3 linked regions of the Saccharomyces cerevisiae S288C genome follow. Changing the gene in region 2 together with the main gene of any one other region gives a genetic interaction. Each region holds a gene or a part of one and is shown on either strand. Other genes may lie near its edges. The genes, in order: HOS3, AAT2 and ARO9.

Evidence for each region.
Region 1: mutations in AAT2 (region 2) and HOS3 impair growth when combined (synthetic growth defect), as found in Saccharomyces cerevisiae (one study listed by BioGRID).
Region 3: of AAT2 (region 2) and ARO9, changing one suppresses a phenotype caused by changing the other (phenotypic suppression), as found in Saccharomyces cerevisiae (one study listed by BioGRID).

What each region holds. Positions count from the first base shown.
Region 1 is NC_001148.4:327,879-332,212, reverse strand, and holds HOS3 (histone deacetylase), read right to left. Parts: upstream 2,608-4,334; coding exon 514-2,607; downstream 1-513. Other genes in the region: GTPase-activating protein BEM3, read left to right, coding at 1-113; isopentenyl-diphosphate delta-isomerase IDI1, read left to right, coding at 3,483-4,334. UniProt on the Saccharomyces cerevisiae protein: Responsible for the deacetylation of lysine residues on the N-terminal part of the core histones (H2A, H2B, H3 and H4).
Region 2 is NC_001144.5:196,281-199,709, forward strand, and holds AAT2 (aspartate transaminase AAT2), read right to left. Parts: upstream 1,806-3,429; coding exon 549-1,805; downstream 1-548. Other genes in the region: SED5 (t-SNARE syntaxin), read right to left, coding at 1-192; bifunctional phosphoribosylaminoimidazolecarboxamide formyltransferase/IMP cyclohydrolase ADE16, read right to left, coding at 3,260-3,429. UniProt on the Saccharomyces cerevisiae protein: Plays a key role in amino acid metabolism.
Region 3 is NC_001140.6:374,140-377,906, reverse strand, and holds ARO9 (aromatic-amino-acid:2-oxoglutarate transaminase), read right to left. Parts: upstream 2,199-3,767; coding exon 657-2,198; downstream 1-656. Other genes in the region: YHR138C (uncharacterized protein), read left to right, coding at 208-552; SPL2 (Spl2p), read left to right, coding at 2,807-3,253; serine/threonine protein kinase YCK1, read left to right, coding at 3,597-3,767. UniProt on the Saccharomyces cerevisiae protein: General aromatic amino acid transaminase involved in several otherwise unrelated metabolic pathways. Mainly involved in tryptophan degradation.

The sequences.
Region 1 (4,334 bases), on a different chromosome or scaffold from region 2:
CAATTAGTATGCTTCAACCATTCATCACTGACTTTGCGTGTATATTTCAGGGTGGTGAACCAGTTAAAGAAGAGGAAAGGGAGAAAGTAGATATACATATTCCTCAGGTTTGATGGTCTAAAATTGTAGAAATATAACGTTGCCAGTAAACCTCCATTGATTTAATGATAGAAAGAGGGCGAGATGTATAGAGGCTTCTTTCTTTCAACGATATATTTGTAATAATAAAAAAATGTCAGGCTGATAAAGCTTATAGAGTGACTGTCTTTTTATTCCTCAAATGTTATTTACAATACCATATAATAAAATTAGTATATTGTCAAATAAAATAAGAGAAAAAAACTAACTTCTTGACCAAATGGTCGAAGAGCTGAGATAAAGAAGGAAAAAAATTAAAATTACTAACTATACAAGGAAATATAAAAATAGAAAAATTGTGTTACTAAATACAAAAAAGTAATATATGCGTCACTTCTTTAGTGGGTTCAAGACAACATTATATATGCATTGGTATCACCATCTTCCACCACTTCTTGTTGTATGTTTTCTTGAAACATGAGAAATCATTGATATATCACTATCGTCATAAGTTGGTGTATTTGCGTTTTGAGGCTGTCTTATGCGATGCGGTTTCGTATTGGAGGGAATTTTATACATTCCATTACCTTGTAGACGGCGTTGGTGCGAGTTTTTCCAATTTTTTTCTTTTAGCTCATGGTCTGAATCTTCATCACCTTTTTTTTCAATTTCTAAGGTCTCCAAATGTCTAGAAATATCATCAATGGTAATATCCTCCACCGTGCGATTGAAAGTTTTGTTCAATTCTTCATCGTAAACGTATTCTTCATCTTCATCCTCACTGGAAAATTCTTGTTGCAAAAACGGAATTTGGGTTTCAGCTGCTCTATTATTTGACGAGAGCTGCTTGACCTTGGTATCGCTTCTAATTTCCCTTTGTTCCTGTTTTTCCGTGCTTCTCGGCTTGTTTTCATGAAGTTCTTTTTCTGGGGAAGCGTTGCTTCTATGAGATCTGATTATTCTTTGAGCAATTGTCGACGTGGATGCTGGTTCGACAGTAGCCTTTAGTAGAGAATTAGAAGGTGCGCTGTTAACTGCGTCTTTAAAAATGATATCATCGAATTCCGGTATCATTGCTCGTCCCAGCCTGATAACTTCTTCTGCCCATATTCTTATGACATCTTTTGCTCTTTTTGTCTTATAGGGTTTCCAAGCCGGTTTGCAACCACGAACAATCTCTTTAACGACTTGTTCAGACCCCCATTCTTTAACCCAATCTTGGTTTTGTAAACCGATCAAATGTGCGAAAACACCAGAACATATAGCTTTATCAGAATATCCACCCTCCATTAGAGACAAAACTTTGCCATGACAGTGCATTTGTGCTAATTTCAATGCATCTTTGGTGAACGTTGTATAAAAACTTGTAGGAACGTTGACACTATGCCTTTGCATTGAAGTTTGCTCAAATTCTGATGCATCGAAACCTGCGCTTATGACAACCAAACCTTTGAATGGTCTCCCTTGTTGATTCATTTCTAGTTTTGCGCTCCTGAAAAATTCATCTGCTTTAGCAAATAAAGTTCTATATTTTGTCCTGTATAATACATTGAATTCTTCTTCGGTTGTCCATTTGGATAAGTGAATATTCCAGATGTTTAGGTCATGAGAGTTCATGATACAGGTAGATGCATTTTTAATGTTCTCCTTTGTGGCAAATCCCGACTCTGTTGGAAATGAATTTATATCATGCATAGAAAAATAACCGACTTTGGGAAATTCGGCAAATTTCTTACCAAAATCATCATAAGATGAATCTTCAGGTTCCTCCTCAGGTTTGAAACCCGCACGTTTCCAGCAAATGTCTTGGGTCCCATCACCGTGGTGTAGATCGAAATCAAGCACGACAACATGCGTGACGTTGTAAGTATCATACGCATATTCTATGGCTACATGTGCATTGTTTAACAGACAAAAGCCGGATGGTGTACCATAGTGGCAATGATGACCAGGAGGCCGTATAGCAACAAAAGCTCTGTTACTAATATGTTCTGCAGATGGTCCTTTGAAAATTGAGTCAACACCAGTTTCAATGGCCCCAATTGTTCCCTGTAGAGCTTTAATTGTCTTTGAGCTCAAGTATATATCACCTGAGTTCCAAGTATCTGGGACTTCGATTTCGCCTTTTAGCAATTTAGCATCTGCCATTTGGCAAAGTTCAATTAACTCAGCCGGCCAGCTACTGCCATGAACTTTAAGCACATGAGGTGCCATCAATGAACCTTTCCTTTGATGCGAGGATTTCAAGGTGAAAAGGGATGGATACATTGTAATCGCAGCTGATATACCCATCGAGCTTGCTAATAATCTTTCTGGTCGTTCGACTATAGTTTTCCTATACGATTTTGTTACCCATTCTCTCGGGAACACATGCTGTAAAGAATATGGGGATAGTACTACAACAGCTTTTGCAGATTCCGGTATTTGTGCGGCAGCTCGAGCTGCCGATATGACATTAGGGTTATTTTGAACAAATGCTTGAAATTGCTTATAAAATCTCTCCAATGGATCTGAATGCTTGGAAGACATATTATATCGTCGAATTTCTCTGTTTACTTCCAGAGCCCTTTTTTTCGTTATATTTTCAGTGACTTAAGAAGTATTGGAGAAACTGAACTGATCAACTCCACACGAAAAGAAAGTTTGTAATTTGGAAAAGGACTAGTTTTTCAAAAGAGAAGATCTGATAATAGATCAAGCGATAAAAAAATTAACAAGATCTTATTGTTCAATTCAGAAAAAAACGTAAACAAAAAATAGTTCTTCATGTTTAAAGGAAAGAGTAAAATAGTATTATCCCTTGATTAGTTGTTTACAATTCTTGAAACTTTCCCAAACTGTTGTTTACATTTCTCTAAAACAAAAATAAAAACATGAGCAGGGTAACACTCAAGGGTCCTAAAAAAATTAGGTTTTATTACAGAAATTGTATAGGACATTTTTAATATTACGAGGGTAAATAAATAACAGTCACAGAATAGTATAGGTTATTAAGGGCTTCATGCGGCTATTTTGCCTATATTAATTTCTTTTTTTTTTCTTTTTTCTTTTTTTCCGCTGCTATCGGTAAAAGTTTCCGTTCTTGCTGGAACGAAATGGACAAAACTTAATTGTGATTGAAATTTTTCCAGTCAACAGTTTCGCAATGACGATGCCCAGCCGATTCTTTTCCCTTTAATTGTTATTAAGAAACATGATTATTCATAACTCTTTTCTTGTCGATGGGGGTTGCCTTTCTTTTTCGGTCTTAACTCCATTTATATTTATTTATTCATTTTTATCTATTTAACAGGAAACAGTTTTCTAGTGACAAGAAGGCGTATATCCCACTTAATTCAATATTAGAGTATTCGTATTTGGAATACAGGAAGAGTAAAAATAAGCCAAAAATTCATTACACCTCAATGACTGCCGACAACAATAGTATGCCCCATGGTGCAGTATCTAGTTACGCCAAATTAGTGCAAAACCAAACACCTGAAGACATTTTGGAAGAGTTTCCTGAAATTATTCCATTACAACAAAGACCTAATACCCGATCTAGTGAGACGTCAAATGACGAAAGCGGAGAAACATGTTTTTCTGGTCATGATGAGGAGCAAATTAAGTTAATGAATGAAAATTGTATTGTTTTGGATTGGGACGATAATGCTATTGGTGCCGGTACCAAGAAAGTTTGTCATTTAATGGAAAATATTGAAAAGGGTTTACTACATCGTGCATTCTCCGTCTTTATTTTCAATGAACAAGGTGAATTACTTTTACAACAAAGAGCCACTGAAAAAATAACTTTCCCTGATCTTTGGACTAACACATGCTGCTCTCATCCACTATGTATTGATGACGAATTAGGTTTGAAGGGTAAGCTAGACGATAAGATTAAGGGCGCTATTACTGCGGCGGTGAGAAAACTAGATCATGAATTAGGTATTCCAGAAGATGAAACTAAGACAAGGGGTAAGTTTCACTTTTTAAACAGAATCCATTACATGGCACCAAGCAATGAACCATGGGGTGAACATGAAATTGATTACATCCTATTTTATAAGATCAACGCTAAAGAAAACTTGACTGTCAACCCAAACGTCAATGAAGTTAGAGACTTCAAATGGGTTTCACCAAATGATTTGAAAACTATGTTTGCTGACCCAAGTTACAAGTTTACGCCTTGGTTTAAGATTATTTGCGAGAATTACTTATTCAACTGGTGGGAGCAATTAGATGACCTTTCTGAAGTGGAAAATGACAGGCAAATT
Region 2 (3,429 bases):
TTCGTGAGCTATGCCAGAAGCCTTTTTTTGAAACTCAGAGACACTTTTCCCATTGCCGGTTGTGTTGTTGGCAAAGTTTTCACTTTCTTTCTCTTGTAGACGTTCCCTCTGCTGTTCTCTAAAGTTTTTGTTTCTTTTCTTGTAACTCAACACACTTTGTTGAAATTCTGAAGTTCTATCCTTTATGTTCATGGGAGTTGTGTGGTATGGTGAAATGGTCGTTGGAAACAGAGGTGGAATAAAATATATACAGTAAAGAGTGGGTGATTTCCGTTCAAAGGTCTAACAGGAGCGTCGATGCGGCGGTAGGATTTTTTTTTTTTTTTCAATTTCTATATTGACATTATTATCATAATGATTGTTTCGAATATGCCCTTTCGCCTCGCCTCGATCAATAAACCTACCCGGATATTACAACAACATAATAATACACCTGTGAAGGTAAAGAAAGAGCATTTCTCTTTTTTTTATTTTTTTTTTTTTTTACTTTCTTTACATTAAAAAAAATATGAAGAGTGTAATAGGTAAGTATAAGTATTATTTAATCATTACAATTTAGCTTCAATAGTATAGAAGCGCACCACTTCATCAATGGCTTTAGCCACGTATTCCACGTTTCCTTGATTCAATCCAGCAATAGAAGCTCTACCTGAGGCAACCAAGTAAACTGCGTGGGTTTCTTCAAGTCGTTTAACCATTTGAGGAGTCAATCCTGTAAAGGAGAACATCCCGCATTGATTTACTATATGATCCCAGTTGCCAGGAGTGCCCAACTTGACTAAATGGTCTCTTAATGCGTGCCTCATTTTCGTAATTCTGGAGGACATGGTAACCATATCCTTGTGCCACTGTTCCGTTAATTCTGGCGTTTCCAACAGTTTAGCGACAATCTTAGCGCCGTAGGCGGGTGGGTTGGACACTTCACTACGAATGATTTTGGCCAATTGAGATGTAACAGCAGGCTTTATAGTTTTGTTTTGAGCTTGTTTTGTAAGTGCTAGATGGAAACAACCTACACGCTCACCGTACATACCGGCGTTCTTGGCAAAGGACTGACAGACAAAGACGGGAGAGACCGTTGAAAGCTTCTCCACACCTAGACGCACAGCATAGGCATCCTTGTCCAAATCTCCAGTGGCAAACCCTTGGTAGGCGGTGTCAAATAAGGCGATGTGGTTCTTTGAGGCGATAGCATCAACGATTTGAACCCATTGTTCACTAGTAGGGTCCAGACCAGTTGGGTTATGGGCGCAAGAGTGCAGAACGAAAATGGAGCCCTCTGGAGCTTTTTGAATAGCATTTAGAAAGCCGTTTAGGTCCAAAGACTTAGTTTCGTTGGCCCAGTAAGGGTAAGTCGCCGTTTTCAAGCCTTGATTCTCAAAAATGGCCATGTGGTTGGCCCAAGTAGGCTTAGACAAATAGACCAGTTTATCTGGGAAGAATTTTGAAAAAAACTTCGCAGATATATGAAGAGCACCCGTACCAGACAGTGATTGTACTGAGATTACTCTGTCTTCCTGAAAGGCATCGGATTGCGTACCGAAGATGATCTTGGCGGCGTTAGATGTCAAACTTGGCAGACCGGTAATACCGAGGTATTCATGGTTGTAGGAGCTGTCGTTATGAATTAGCTTTTCGGCGGCTTTAACACTTGGCAAGACCCATGGTTTACCGTTGTCGTCTCTGTAGGCCCCGATACCCAAGTCGACCTTGGTAGCACGTTGATCTTGCCCGTACCTTTGCTTAATACCAAAAAGGGCATCAGGGGGCAGCAATTCGATGTTATTGAACAGAGTGGCAGACATTATCGCTCTTGTGTTCTTGTATTCCTGTGTTCTTTTGTTCATTAGAATTTGGACGGTTGCGCTTTCCCTTCTTAAAGTATCCACATACGTTTATATACCGACGTGCAAGGCGACAAGGTAAATGAGGCCGATCACGCTGACTCACTCGGTCCGACTCTCGGCGATCGTTATTCACGAAGACGAAAGATAGCCATTTCCAGTGGTGACCATTAGTATTGACAATATGTACATCGCATTAAACAGTAAGAAAACATTAATATTCCGTCAGGAATTCCTGTAAATTGCTCTTACTACAAACCTGCAATGCCCATATCATCATATTCAAAGTAAAAATTTCATTTTCCGTAATTATTCTTATCTTTGGGTGCTTTGTGGCAGCTACTGGAGTAATTGTGTATAATAGATGCCACTAGTGCAGTTAAATGAAATATCCTACATTGAGAGTTTAAAAAATTGCCTCCTTGTATGTTTCTTGTAAATAATGATTTTATGTCCTTCTAGCGTAGTAACCCTAAACCATCAGCGGCTATTATTAACATTGTTACCCTGACAGTGCTTTTTTATTTCAAGAAAAATTTTCCTTTAGATTCTCTCGCCTATATAAACACTTTGAAACTCTCATCGTCGTGCATTTAACTTCTATGGTAAACTTCTTTTCCCATTCAAGTTTCTCTTTGCTTATTTGTAAAAAAAAAAGTAACCATAGTCTCGTGCTAGTTCGGTACTATACAGGGAAGGGAAGTCACTCGCATACGTGTGTGTGCATTTCTTGCTATTGCTGCTTAGCTTCTCTAAAACACTGGGCTAGCGTTTTTCAACGCTCGAGAGGCAGAGTCTCAAGGAGCCTCCAATGGGCCTCACGTATTCATCTAGATGGCGCTTCGGACAACGGCATCACATAAGAGATGCAGCTCCTGACTTCTCCTCTGATCTTCGTGATCAGAGTTTTGAGTCGTCAGACTACGAGCAGTTTCTCTTAGTCGTTGCATCGGGTGCTGTTGCCTTAACGATGTGTATATGGGGTTCGGGGGCTGTTGCCATGATATATATGGATGAGACAGAAGTGGCCCCGTTGACGAGTTTAACTTAGATTAAGTAGGACGCATGATCTTGAGCTCTTTTCCTATACTTTGTCCTATGGCCAGCTTTCTCCTTATTACGAAGAGATTGCGGGATGTGGGTGCAGAGTGGGAAAATCTGAGTTCGGTCATCTTTGTTGTTCGTCCTACCGCAGTATATTCCTAAACACTATGAAATGACCCTAGTTGGTCCATGATCATTTGGGTAAAACCATACTGCAGACATCTCTATAATTCACATATTCACATCTTGTCCTCTCGCAGAAGAGGAAGGCCTTTGACGTAGAAAATTAAGTAAATCGTATACGTTTACGTATATACACTTGTATTCAGCTATATATGTTGTTTCTGTTCTTCTCATAAAATGTACCCTACTTAGTGGTGGAATAAACGAATTGGGTTCTCCACGTAGACGATATCAAATGAATCCGCCGCTTGGAAGACAACTTTGTCCATGACAGACCCCGAAGGAGCCGTGATGAACTTTACACCAGACTGCACAGCTCTATAAACGTTGTCTGGGAAGGGAAAGAACGCATCGGATG
Region 3 (3,767 bases), on a different chromosome or scaffold from region 2:
GTTCCTATTAAATTTGATTATTCCGATTAGATCGGTCGGCGCTACCAAAAAGAGGCGAAGAAAAGAGGAAAACGCAAGTGGATAAAGGGGTGGGGGGCAAAAGTATTTAAGAAAAAGCGATGCGATGGAGAGAACAAATGGATAAGTTGCGTTTCCTCGTTATATTACAACATTTAAATCTATTGTGTAACAGACTATAGCATATATATGAAGGCCAGTTACTTAGTTTTGATTTTCATTAGCATATTCTCCATGGCACAGGCATCTTCCTTATCATCATACATCGTAACTTTCCCCAAGACGGATAATATGGCTACGGACCAGAATAGCATTATTGAAGATGTCAAAAAATATGTGGTGGACATAGGGGGTAAAATAACACACGAATATAGCTTGATAAAGGGCTTTACAGTGGACTTACCTGATAGCGACCAAATTTTGGACGGTCTGAAAGAACGTTTGAGCTATATTGAAAGCGAGTACGGTGCTAAATGCAATTTGGAAAAGGATTCAGAAGTTCATGCTCTAAACCGTGACCATTTAGTTGCTTAGAGTAATTTAAAATATACGCGACTATAACTTTTTCCCAACTTTTATACAAAAAACTACAATTTATATATGATATGCAAATAACACATAGGTTTAATCTTCACTGTTCAACTTTTATAGTTGTCAAAAAATTCTTTTATGCCACTACCGATTCTTTTGGAAGCTTCAATCAACTGATCATCATCCCTTGCATAGGCGATGGTGAGTCTTAGAAAATCTGAATTCTGCTTTGAATAATTTGGGCAAACAGCCATTTTATAACCAAGCACTACTTTAACACCATTCTTCAGCAAGAACTTATCTAAAATATCCATCTGTTGCGGCAAATCGTCAGGTCTATCGAAATTCCCCCAATTGATTTTAATAATGATGAACATACCCGCGGAGGGTTCCATAACGGTAAACTGACCAGCTTGGTAAGATTCTGTTTCGTATAAGGCTTTCAAAGTAAGATTTTTCCTATGATTGTATTTAGAAGCAATCTGCATTATCCATCTTATCCAACCCTCAAACATTGCTTCTTTCATAGAAAGAGAGGACGATAAGTTGGACTCAGCCATTGCCTTTATTGTAGAATAAACAATAGCTTGTGAGGTACCACTGGGGGCCCTTGTAGTAATGTCGGCCAAATCCAAGATTTTTTGCAAAAGGAATTTATTAGCAACGATGAAGGATAACCTTAATCCAGGAGCAAAAATTTTAGAAAAAGTCTCCAAACGGATGACACGGGCATCTGTATCCAAAGTCAAGAATGATTTCATTAAAAAATCATTCAAATACCGTTCAGTAGTCAGGTCGCTAGAATGGTAAGGGTTTTCTAATGGCTCTTGCGGATTATAGGAAGGAAAGTACAGATAACCGTAGGGATCATCTTCAACAATGAGGAAATCGTGTCTTTGGGCCAACTGGTAAATTTTCTCTCTTTTCCACTGGGGGACAGACATCCCGGTAGGATTTTGGCCCGTTGCAATGGTATATAGGACCCTTGGCTTGTTTAAGTCTTTGTATGGTCCAGTTGACCAATTATCGAGCAACTGCGTTAGATATTCGACATCAATACCCTGGGACTCTCTGTCGAAGGTCAGGTTCATCTTGATGGGGATGACTTTTGCTCCTGTAGCCTCCACATTGGACATAGCCGGGGTGAAAGTAAACTCTTCAATCATCACAGTGGTCGATTCGTCGCAAATTGTTTCAAAAACCTTAAACATTGAATCGTTGGACCCGCCAGAAAGGATGACATCCCAGTTAGACTCCGTCTCATCGGAAAAGGCTGGGCGATTAATTCTGGACACAAAATCTTTAACAAAATGTAAGAGAGGGGGTAAACCCTTGGTTTCTGCATATTGGAAAGAACGTGCAATGGGTAGCTCACTGGGGGATCCCAAGTCCAAATGCGCCGTGGTAAACGAATTATGCCATTTTGGGTTATCATTAAAAGGAACTTTTGATATTTTCAAATCCATAGATTCGATAGGAAAAAATCTCTCGTTTGGCATTCCACCAGCTAGCTCAATGACGTCATCTGAGATATCAGAAGCATCCCAAAAGCTTTTCAGAGATCTATTTTCTACTCTTCTGGAGAGAAACGGTTGGAAGTTCTTCTTTAAGGAAGTGTAATCAACAGGGGGGGCAGAACCAGCAGTCATTGAGTCGATGAGAGAGTGTAATTGTGGTATGTGTGTATTTTTATGTTTACACTGGGATATTACAAGACCAAATCAAGCTTTTTCCTTTATATATATCAAATATTTATAATGTTTCCTACCCCAATGATGGTTCGGTTATCCGCGGCAAATCTCGGTAAGCATCGGCAATGCTTCCGCGAGTTACCGCTTTTTTTTTTTTATTCCTTTGTTATTATCTACGGCCGTCGGCGGCAATAGTATTTTTGCTCACGTGACCGACAAGGGTCCATTTTATTGCGGTACGGCTCTCTCTTTTTTTTTTTCTCCTCTTCAACTTCTCTCTGATTGCAAACAATATATAACATAACCATGTTCATTACGTACGAAAATATATATACATAAATGCATGGCAGTTATGGCAATTACAACTACAACGCCGTAAAGTTCCAAACGCAGCGGCCTGAGATAGTAAATGATGTACGCACGTGGGCGAAAGTTCATTACTTTGACTGTTGTAACATACCGTATCTCTCTTTTCCCACGTGCTCCGCTCTCTTATCTACCTTGGCGGTACAGCCCTGCGCGGAGTCACTGCAGCCACGTGCCTAGATCTATTACTATGACTTCCCATGGGCACATATACGCCATTAATATACAATATATATAACGTTCATATATGGGTATTTACAGAGAGCCAGGGGCAAATTGGACAGATGTCTCCACGCGGCAAAATGGAAACAGCAGTTTCACAAGGACAACACAAACAACTTAAAGATGGTCACCAGCATAAGGGAAGAAAACTCTCCGAGGAGATCGCTTCTCTATTGAGGCTCAAAGAGTGCAGGAGGCTCAATCCTGCTAGTTACTATACTCCACGTAGAACATCGCAGTCACAATCTCTCAGTGGATCAACTTTTAAAGAGTATAACGAGTACATTAATGAGAAAGATTCAAGTAGAGCGCAGCGTCAAAACGCTGCCGCCGTTTTAAGCAAGCTCGCCCATGACTTTTGGGAGAACGACTGTGTCATTGACGAAGACATATTCGAAGATTCGTCTGACGAAGAACAATCATGATTGCATCTCTTAATCGTTACACATACATACCTTCTACCTCTGTACTGTTACATATGCATTGACTTTACGATCTAATATAAATCCTTTTGATGTTACCCCGCCTGTGGGCTCGTTCTCCTTTCGTTTCTTACGATTTTTTCGCCGGAACAAGAAAAAACAGAACAAAACAAATCAGCGATCGTATACATGGGTCTTTGATTTCTGCTTGCTTCTTACAAACAACAAACGCAAACCGTTCATTGAGTGCTCTGTGACTGGTTTTCATGTGGATGCCATAGTAGAGAAAAGACACATACAAAAATTTCGCGCATTCGCTGGCCCTTTTCCTGCTCTCCTCTTCCCCATGTCCATGCCCATAGCAAGTACCACTCTAGCAGTTAACAACCTCACCAATATAAACGGAAACGCAAATTTTAACGTACAAGCAAACAAACAACTCCACCACCAGGCTGTCGACTCGCCCGCAAGATCTTCGATGACCGCCACGACCGCCGCCAACTCCAACAGCAACTCT